2 linked regions of the Arabidopsis thaliana genome follow. The protein of the gene in region 1 interacts with the protein of each later gene in a pairwise test. Each region holds a gene or a part of one and is shown on either strand. Other genes may lie near its edges.

Region 1 (4,946 bases):
CTGTTTCAGTTTGGATCTGATTTTTCTTTGGATCAGGAGAACGGTGTTATCCCCGGAATCAAAGTGGACAAGGGTTTGGTTGATCTAGCAGGGACCAACGGCGAGACCACTACTCAAGGTCTAGACTCGCTTGGTGCACGGTGTCAGCAGTATTACGAGGCAGGAGCCCGGTTTGCTAAATGGCGTGCATTCTTCAAGATTGGGGCCACCGAGCCAAGCGTTCTCTCCATCCAAGAGGACGCCAGGGTGCTAGCCCGCTATGCCATCATCTGCCAGGAGAATGGACTTGTCCCGATCGTCGAGCCAGAGGTGCTGACAGGTGGGAGCCACGACATCAAGAAATGTGCGGCGGTGACTGAGACGGTTCTTGCTGCCGTGTTCAAGGCCTTGAACTACCACCATGTCCTCCTCGAAGGCACTCTGCTTAAACCTAACATGGTCACTCCCGGCTCCGACAGCCCAAAGGTATCCAAACTAGATGTTGCAATCCGGTTTTGTTTTGGAGTCGTTGTTTTATTGGTCTTATATTTTGAAACTGAAACCACAACCAAACTGTATCGGTGTGATGCTATTTTATTTAAATTTACATGCCCGGTCCTTACGTAACCACAATCAAATGAATCACAGAGACATCAATACCTCGAAATGCAACGTTAATTTGCTACAAAACGCTAAAATAGTTCTTCTTACAGGTTGCACCGGAACTAATTGCGGAATACACGGTGACTGCTCTGCGCCGCACAGTCCCACCAGCTATTCCGGGAATCGTGTTCCTCTCAGGCATACAGCGCGAAGAGCAAGCGACACTAAATCTAAACGCAATGAACAAGCTTGATGTGTTGAAGCCATGGACGCTCACTTTCTCTTTTGGCGGAGCCCTCCAGCAAAGTGCTATCAAGGCTTGGGCCGGTAAGCCCGAGAACGTAGCCAAAGCTCAGGCCAAGTTCCTGACCAGGTGCAAGGCTAACAAGGACGCTACCCTCGGGAAATACACCGGCTGGGCTTCTGGTGACTCGGCCGCTTTCGAGAACTTGGTTGTGATAGGATACAGGTACTAGGATCCTTTGAGAACGGGCGTTTGCCTTTGATGCGGTTTGAGTAGATATCTAATGTTTCGTGTGTGTTTTAACTGTTTGAATGTTCAATTTTGCAGACTGCTAATAATTGTTATTTTCCGGTTACTGTCAAACTATCCATGTGAAATTCACGTTTTGAAAAGCTAATAATAATGTTTTTATTGTATGAGAATAAATTTAGAAAACTAAAAATTGTTAAGGACATATTACAAGATATCTCCTCTTTTCGCTTTGCTCTAGTGCACATTGTTAGCCAATTCAAACACACTTGAAGTGCTTAATGACACTGAAATTGAATATGATCTTGTCCGGAAACACAGCGGCTGAAGCTATCAACCTTCTTATAAGCAATGGGCGTACTTGAGGGAAACATCATATTTTTAAACCTTGTCTCAGTAAGCTAACACACACCCCTTGTGATTACTTATCCATGTTTATCCACAAGAATGCAGTTGGATTGAGATATTTTCTTCTTTGTTGAAATCAGGCCTCAAGGTGTTCATGTGGTCTGCAAAAAAATTCCCAAAAATAAAGATAGTGACATCTGAAATCGATAATGGATTAGACGAAGAGTTTCGTGTTATTCCTTGGTATGGGCGGGTTTGGGGACAGATATTTTGGCACAGACGAGGACTAGGCCACTGTGGTCCTGCAGCATTAGGTGTCCCTTCCATGTCCTGCATTACATTTTATTGATGGATTCATCACCCTATCTACTACAACGGCTACACAAACTATGAAGAGTTTTGTTTACTAATAAATGCCCAAGTGAGGGGTCGATCGAACCCGGGACACGTTTTTCAGTTTACCATATAGAATTATCCTTGGAACCCTTGATACTCCATAAAACATCACCACCTCTGTTGTCATCTCATGAATCCAGGTTCAAACCTAGTCTCTCTCTCCCTAGTGGGAGGTATATGGCCACTGGGCCAATGATGACAAAATGCAAAAAAAATAAAATACATTTGGGTTCATTATCTAAAATATCTCTTGTGTTTGTAAGTTTTGGTTGCACACTCGTGTGGTTGAAGTGTGTGTGAGAGGTACTATACAATACACTCTGCTTTTGTTTTGTACCTATCTCTTTCTCTTCTCCACATATCCAAGACTTTGGGGATAAAGCTGAGATCATTGGTTGCCATTTGGTTGTGTAGAAGCAATCACCCATTTGCTTTATCCGAGGTTGATAAATTTCCTCGGGTTCTCCTTCTGACACGTATGACAAATTCTAATAGTATATTCCTCGTAGATATTACCTATATATTCTCAATAGTTGCAGGTACTTAAGGCTTTGTCTTGGCATCCTCGTCCTCTTCAGCAAAACTCGTCTCTCTTGCACTCCAAAAAGCAACCATGTCTGCTTTTGTCGGCAAATACGCAGGTAAATTCATACACTTAACATGCACTCTTCTTGTTGAATAACTTAGGTTCTCTCTCTTTAATGCGCTTTCTGTGTTCAGATGAGCTGATAAAGACGGCTAAGTACATTGCCACACCGGGAAAGGGCATTTTGGCAGCAGACGAGAGCACGGGAACTATTGGGAAACGATTCGCCAGCATCAATGTTGAGAACATTGAGTCCAACCGCCAAGCTCTCCGTGAGCTCCTCTTCACGTCCCCTGGCACTTTCCCTTGCCTCTCCGGTGTTATCCTCTTCGAGGAAACCCTCTACCAGAAAACCACGGATGGCAAACCCTTCGTTGAGCTCCTCATGGTCCGTCCCTGAAAAACCAAACTCCAGCACTAGTCTTAATCATTAATCATTGGGTTCAAGAGTTGCAAAATGGAACTTACTATTTCAATTTGGATTCTGATTCCTTTTTGTATCAGGAAAACGGAGTTATCCCTGGAATCAAAGTGGACAAGGGTGTGGTTGATCTAGCAGGAACCAATGGCGAGACCACTACTCAGGGTCTAGATTCACTTGGTGCACGTTGCCAGGAGTATTACAAGGCAGGAGCTCGGTTTGCAAAATGGCGTGCAGTCCTCAAGATTGGGGCCACCGAGCCAAGCGAGCTCTCTATCCAAGAGAACGCCAAGGGGCTAGCCCGCTATGCCATCATCTGCCAGGAGAATGGACTCGTCCCAATCGTCGAGCCAGAGGTACTGACCGACGGGAGCCATGACATCAAGAAATGTGCAGCGGTGACCGAGACCGTTCTTGCTGCCGTGTACAAGGCCTTGAACGACCACCATGTCCTCCTCGAAGGCACTCTGCTTAAACCGAACATGGTCACTCCCGGCTCTGACAGCCCAAAGGTAACGAAATTAAGGATTATAGATCGTTTGATGCTACTCCTTATGGAACCACAATCAAATGAATCACAGAGACATAACTCTAAAACTATATTTCTAACAGGTTGCACCGGAAGTGATAGCGGAATACACAGTGACTGCTCTGCGCCGCACAGTCCCACCTGCAGTTCCAGGAATCGTGTTCCTCTCAGGCGGACAGAGTGAAGAGGAAGCAACACTAAATCTGAACGCAATGAACAAGCTCGATGTGTTGAAGCCATGGACTCTCACTTTCTCATTTGGCCGAGCCCTCCAACAAAGCACTCTCAAGGCTTGGGCAGGTAAGACAGAGAATGTAGCCAAAGCTCAGGCCACTTTCCTGACCAGGTGCAAGGGTAACTCGGACGCTACCCTCGGGAAATACACCGGCGGGGCTTCTGGTGACTCGGCCGCCTCTGAGAGCTTGTATGAGGAAGGATACAAGTATTAGGAGCGTTTAAATACGGGTGTCGCCTTTTATACGATTTGAATATATGTCAAATGTTTCGTAGGCGTTTAACTGTTTAAATTTTTATCGATTTGGTTTAGCGTCTGTGTAATGTTCTTAAACTGTGTTGTGTTTTTTGTGATGGTTTCTATAATATTTTCGCGCCATGACATAACGGTTCGTTCAAAAGTTCGGTAATATCCCCTAAGTGGGTCCCACAAGGAAGTCTATCTTCTTCTTAATCACCAAAAAAAAGAAGTCATTTTCCGAAGGAGAGATATTTTTACTTGATATTTTATAATTGTAAGAATGATCTAAAACTAGTTTGGTTATAAATCCAAATCTTTGAACTATTTTTGATAACATTGTTCATGAATTAGGGATCAGGCGGATGCTCTTACAAAATGGATTAGGGCTTGTGCAACATTATCCTGCTTATTATGTGAACAAAATTGAAGAAACATTTATGCTTAAAAGTTATCCGAATAACAATCATAATATTAATGTTAATAATCGAAGAGAACAAAAAAAAGGGCGTTTATTTAGGCTGGAAAGTCGAAGTCATTGTTATTGAGACAGCACATGCTCATGTGATGAGGGTGGCTCAAGGGTCCACGTGATCCACTCGCTTCTGTCTTAAGCCTCTCTTCTTCTTATTCTTCTTCATAATTTCACAAATCGTTAATATAAAAACAAACAACCAAAACACAAAACAAATCACGCATCGTTATCGCGTGTGACTCCAAATGCTCCAGTCCCAATCGGTCATTATCCTATAAAATAGATTATATTCGAGTTGTATGTTAATAAACAATCACAACATTAAAAAAATGATAAAACTCACATACTCTAACCAACCTCTAATACATACAGTACGTCAGATAGAGTCGTTATGGAAATATCCTACATGCATGGACCAGAGGAATGAGGTACAAAACATCAATAAAAATCCAGATAAAATCGCAGTAGCCTAACATGAGGGCATGACAAGCTTTAGAAAACAATAATTTCAATTACCTCAAACTTCCTTTTATCTGCTCACAATCGAAGATCTTATACTCACATATTTCATGTCATATTCGAGTTTTGACATGGCTTGCATACAACTTGTTTCTCGAATTACCTTCGATTAACTAATTTACTAT
Region 2 (4,491 bases), on another chromosome or scaffold:
TCAGGAGCTCCTAAGAAACTTGCAATGAATTAACCAATTATAGTGATTACCTTCTAAACAAGAAGTGATAAGAGCAAAGAAAATTCACATATGAAATAAGGCTTACCACTATTACGAAGCATCAAATAGCAATGGTAATACGGCAACATGAAAACCAGAAGAAGTATCAAACAAAAAAGATCCACCTTCCAGTTTATCATCCTTGCCCTGCAAAATCATCAAAAGATCGGTCCAAGGCTTAAAACTCTAAATTAATATTCCAACTAAACAATTGCTACATAATGCCATGAATTCCCCCTCCAATATAAGTATTACGTACAATGACAAACACCTCAAAAGCTCAATGATATAAGCATCTAGTATCAAGTATCAAATTTCCACATGACATAAAGGAATAAACAAGAGAAGCTAGCTACCACACAGTTTATATACTCGATTACATTACACATACACCAAAAAAATTGTCAAGTAAAAAAATTCTTAAGACAATAACTCCATCAATCTACACTCAATCTCAAAATCATTGCCAATTAGGTAAGAAGTCAACAAAATTAAGCAATTGCAAACAAAGGAGGACCAAGTAAGTAACACAATCTAGAAGACAACAAATAAGTAAAGTTTCCAAAAACCTCCAATGCCAGAAAACACCAAAACTAGCTAAATATCAAAAACTACAGAGTGGATTACTCGAGAAAAGACTTACTCTCTAGAGAGAACAGGTATGATCTCGAACAAAACGAGCTGCAATAGATTACAAGAGAAAGCGAAGACGACACTGAAAATGATTTGAACCAAAGCTCGTTTCTCTTCATACTCTTTGTATAATCTCCGATTAAGAAACCATAAACCTGCCCATCCTAAGAGACTTAGTGAAGCTATCACCACCGTGCCTTCGTATATCGCCCATCCGTAACTCATCGTCGCCAAATTCCAGATCTCTCTTACTTCTCGAGAAAAAACCTCAGATCTGCAAAAACCTCATGGCGATTCAACACCAGAGCTTCTGTTGTACGATTCGATTCGAATTTGATCATTTATGAAACAATTAAAAAAAAAGTATTTAAGAATACCTTATTTATTTTTGGTTAGGGTTTATTTGGTTTAAACTCTAATCAACAACAACCTCATCAACTTCATCATCACCACCACCACCATGCGACTCAACTCGAACTCGCAGAGAGGAAGGCGTTATTAAACGCTAACCAACCATTGAGCTACGGAGTAATGTGAAAGAAACTGCACAACAATAGTGTTTCTATCCTTTTTTTTTGTTTATAGGTTTTGGCGTCTAGTCTAGTGTTGATGATAATTTTAACTCCATTTTCCGACATGTTTTCTTATCTGGTCGATTGATTTTTTTGTTTTTCTTTCACTTTTACATATATACACGAAAAATGATCGATTCATTAAAATTGTTGTTTAGAAGGCTTGTCCAATCTTACACGTGTTACCATATATAAATTTGCGGGAAGTGGGAAGGGAAAGATCGGGATATCGATAGTTCATGATAAATCTTATAATTACGGGATCAAGATAAATATTTTTTTTATCATTAATAAAAAATTAATATTTGTGTACATTTTCTTATTGTTAGATAGAAAATTTAATATTATCATAAATGTAAAGAACTTGCTAATCAAGTTATGATTTTTGTATAAATAATCCTATTAGCTAATGAATAAATAGAGAAAACCTGTATTATTGCTAAAGTTTCCTCCAAACTTATCAGACACCAATCGATGATGTATAATATACCATTTTTCATAACGTGATTCTATTATTTTTACCATTCACAATATTTATCATACATTTATATTTGATTTTCATGTGTATGTTATATTTGATGCATGTGGAAAAAATAATTCAAAATTAAAAAAACTACAAAACGTTTTTCTTATTATATCACAATTATTTAACAAAAAAAAGTTTTGAGCTATTTTGTTTATAATGTTTTTATGCTTTTCAATCCTACATTTCACTATCAGAAAAATGAGGCCAAGTTATAAAAATAAAAATAAAAACTAAACCCAATAAGCCCATTAAGGCCCATAAGTCAATACAGCAAAAACAGCTCATCTTTGCTAAAACGTAGATTACTGATTTAATCTACCGGAATCGAAAGGCAATACCAAACTTCCGGTGAACCGGAATCGGATCCATTTGACTTGCCGTAGAAATTAGGAAATTGATTACAGTGTTCTTCGAGAATGGAGAAGAAGGAGATGGAGAAGTTGTGCCAAAGGTGCAAACAAAGCTACACAGATCTTTCAAACGAAACTTCCTCTTGCCGTTTTCATCCTTCCTTCTTCGTTTGTCGTCGTCACGATGACCAGAAAAGGTTATGTCTCCTACAAACCCTAAATCTATTCACTAATGAAGAATCTCACATCCCAAGCAGCTTGATTCGCTAATTTATAATGGCAAAGCACAAATTGTTGAGATGGGTTTTGAAAGCCATCCACTTTATTGTATTAAGGTTCTGGATCTATAGCTAATTTAGTTAGATACCTTAGATTCTTTGTAGCCAATAATTTTGAAGTGATAGATGATCATGATCTCAGTTTAATGGCTATTTGTGGGTCAAAGGTCATGTTTTGGTTGATTTGAAACTAGCTCTTAGCCTTCTTTGCAGATAATTAGCTACTGTTGTATTTGCCTTGCCCATTTCAAACTCTTTAGGCATAATCATGAAGCTGTTTAATGATTGTGGTCACTCTTAAACGTCGAATACTCTTAACCACTGAGGATAAAAAATTATCTCGACAAGTTTTCAAGCTGTCTAGTGGCCTACACTTTGTTCTGCTAGTTGAAAAAATGGTTTAGTCGACGGTTAATAGCATAAATAAAGAGTGGTGAAAAATACAGTTTAGAGATTTATCATCTGATTCTATGTTGCGTGTTTTATCTTGGTAATAAACTTTGGACTAGGAAGGAACGTAGGTGTCTCTGTTCCGTTATTGGCTCCTTTGGTTATTTACTTACTTCCTCTGTTTGTGATTCTCTCTGTTCCATGCATTGTAGTTACCCACATAGCATAGACTTAACTATCTTTTGTTGAGCTTTTATCGTTATGTGCAACGAATGAGTTTATTTTGGTGTTTATGGTTGTTGGTTTTGGCATTCATATTCTTGCTGGTACCTGATATTTGTTATTTCATTTTAATTTTAAGGTGTTTCGAAACTGAATATATATTTATTCCAAACCATGTTTAATCGACTTGAGTATGATGCATCTGTTTGATTTCTACTTTTTACTAAGAAGTGGAATTAACTAGAACTTGTTTTTTTTAATCAATAAATGAAGGTACTATGAATTGAAACCAGATGATCCACCGTATGCTGCCAAGTTCTATGATTGTTGCGGGGCAGAGGATCCTAATGCACCAGGTTGTGTCACAAACCCTCACATTTCATATGATGACTGATGTATGAGTGAGAGCTCTCATAAGCCTTTTTTTTTCCATAAAAACATCATGTAAATAATCTTAAATTATTGTAGCCTTCTTAGGAGTAAAAGACTTAGCTTGTGATCTCTCTGCTGGGTACTGTCTTGAACCACTTCTTGCATTGCACACAGCTACAGAGTGAGCTGTTGTGTTACAGCTTTTGTCGGTTTTGTGAATAGGAGTGTCAGAATCATTTGACGTGAGAAAATTCCGGAACGACTAACGATTTTATGTTTATTTGTAAGGAATGTTCTTGTTTCTATGGTTGCTTTAAAAAGAGTCAAAACTTTATATTCTTTTTATGAACACCAACAACAAAAATCTAAATCAGACATATAGGTTAATTAACTAATGCAAGTAAATGTGGAAAAATTTACAAAACAAATTTCAGAAGATCTAGAAGTAATCTTGAGACAGTACTTATGAGAAATAATCTTGCACTATCATCCCTCTTTTCTATGAACACCAAGATTTCTGATGCACTTATAATTTCTTATTTTGTGTCAACAATAGATATCCAAACAAAGGTAGAGAAAACATTTGAATGTGGACAAATTATAATTATATTAATAAATTGACTGTCTTTAAAGTTTAAACTAAGTTTAGCAGATCTCATTAAGAGAAAAAAAAAATCAACATGATTGAGTAGAGCACATGAAGTCCACATGACACAACTCCAAGATCTCAAACTCTCTGGTCTTAAATCAGATCGTTAGAGAGATTTATTCTCACCTCCATTATTAAATAAAGCCAACTTGTTTTGGTCCACTTCACTCACAGCTTTTATTATTCTTCTTTTTTCTTTTGTCATCATAATATATTACTCCCCAAAAAAAAAAAAAGCAAAAGCGGTGAGAAAGAAAGGAGAGAGAGAGGGTGACCACTATGGAGACAGCGCAACCCATTACTCATTATTAGTCTCTCCTACCATTCTTTTGCCTAAAGTTCAAGACTTTGTGTTCTTCTAACAAGACCCTTAATCGTAAGTTCAAGACTTTGTGCTGTTGTAGTCCTGTAAGAAGAAGAAGAAGAAGACCATGAAATC

What was found.
Region 2: the proteins of FBA5 (region 1) and AT1G65000 interact in a two-hybrid assay, tested with the Arabidopsis thaliana proteins (one large-scale study listed by BioGRID).

Annotation. Positions count from the first base shown.
Region 1 is NC_003075.7:13,389,134-13,394,079, forward strand, and holds FBA5 (Aldolase superfamily protein), read left to right. Parts: upstream 1-1,620; 5' UTR 1,621-2,432; coding exon 2,433-2,460; intron 2,461-2,539; coding exon 2,540-2,793; intron 2,794-2,909; coding exon 2,910-3,338; intron 3,339-3,438; coding exon 3,439-3,804; 3' UTR 3,805-4,132; downstream 4,133-4,946. Other genes in the region: FBA7 (Aldolase superfamily protein), read left to right, coding at 37-465, 693-1,051, 1,397-1,403. UniProt on the Arabidopsis thaliana protein: Fructose-bisphosphate aldolase that plays a key role in glycolysis and gluconeogenesis.
Region 2 is NC_003070.9:24,144,949-24,149,439, forward strand, and holds AT1G65000 (F-box only protein), read left to right. Parts: upstream 1-1,976; 5' UTR 1,977-2,207; coding exon 2,208-2,338; intron 2,339-3,304; coding exon 3,305-3,425; 3' UTR 3,426-3,853; downstream 3,854-4,491. Other genes in the region: GTG1 (GPCR-type G protein 1), read right to left, coding at 107-207, 704-918.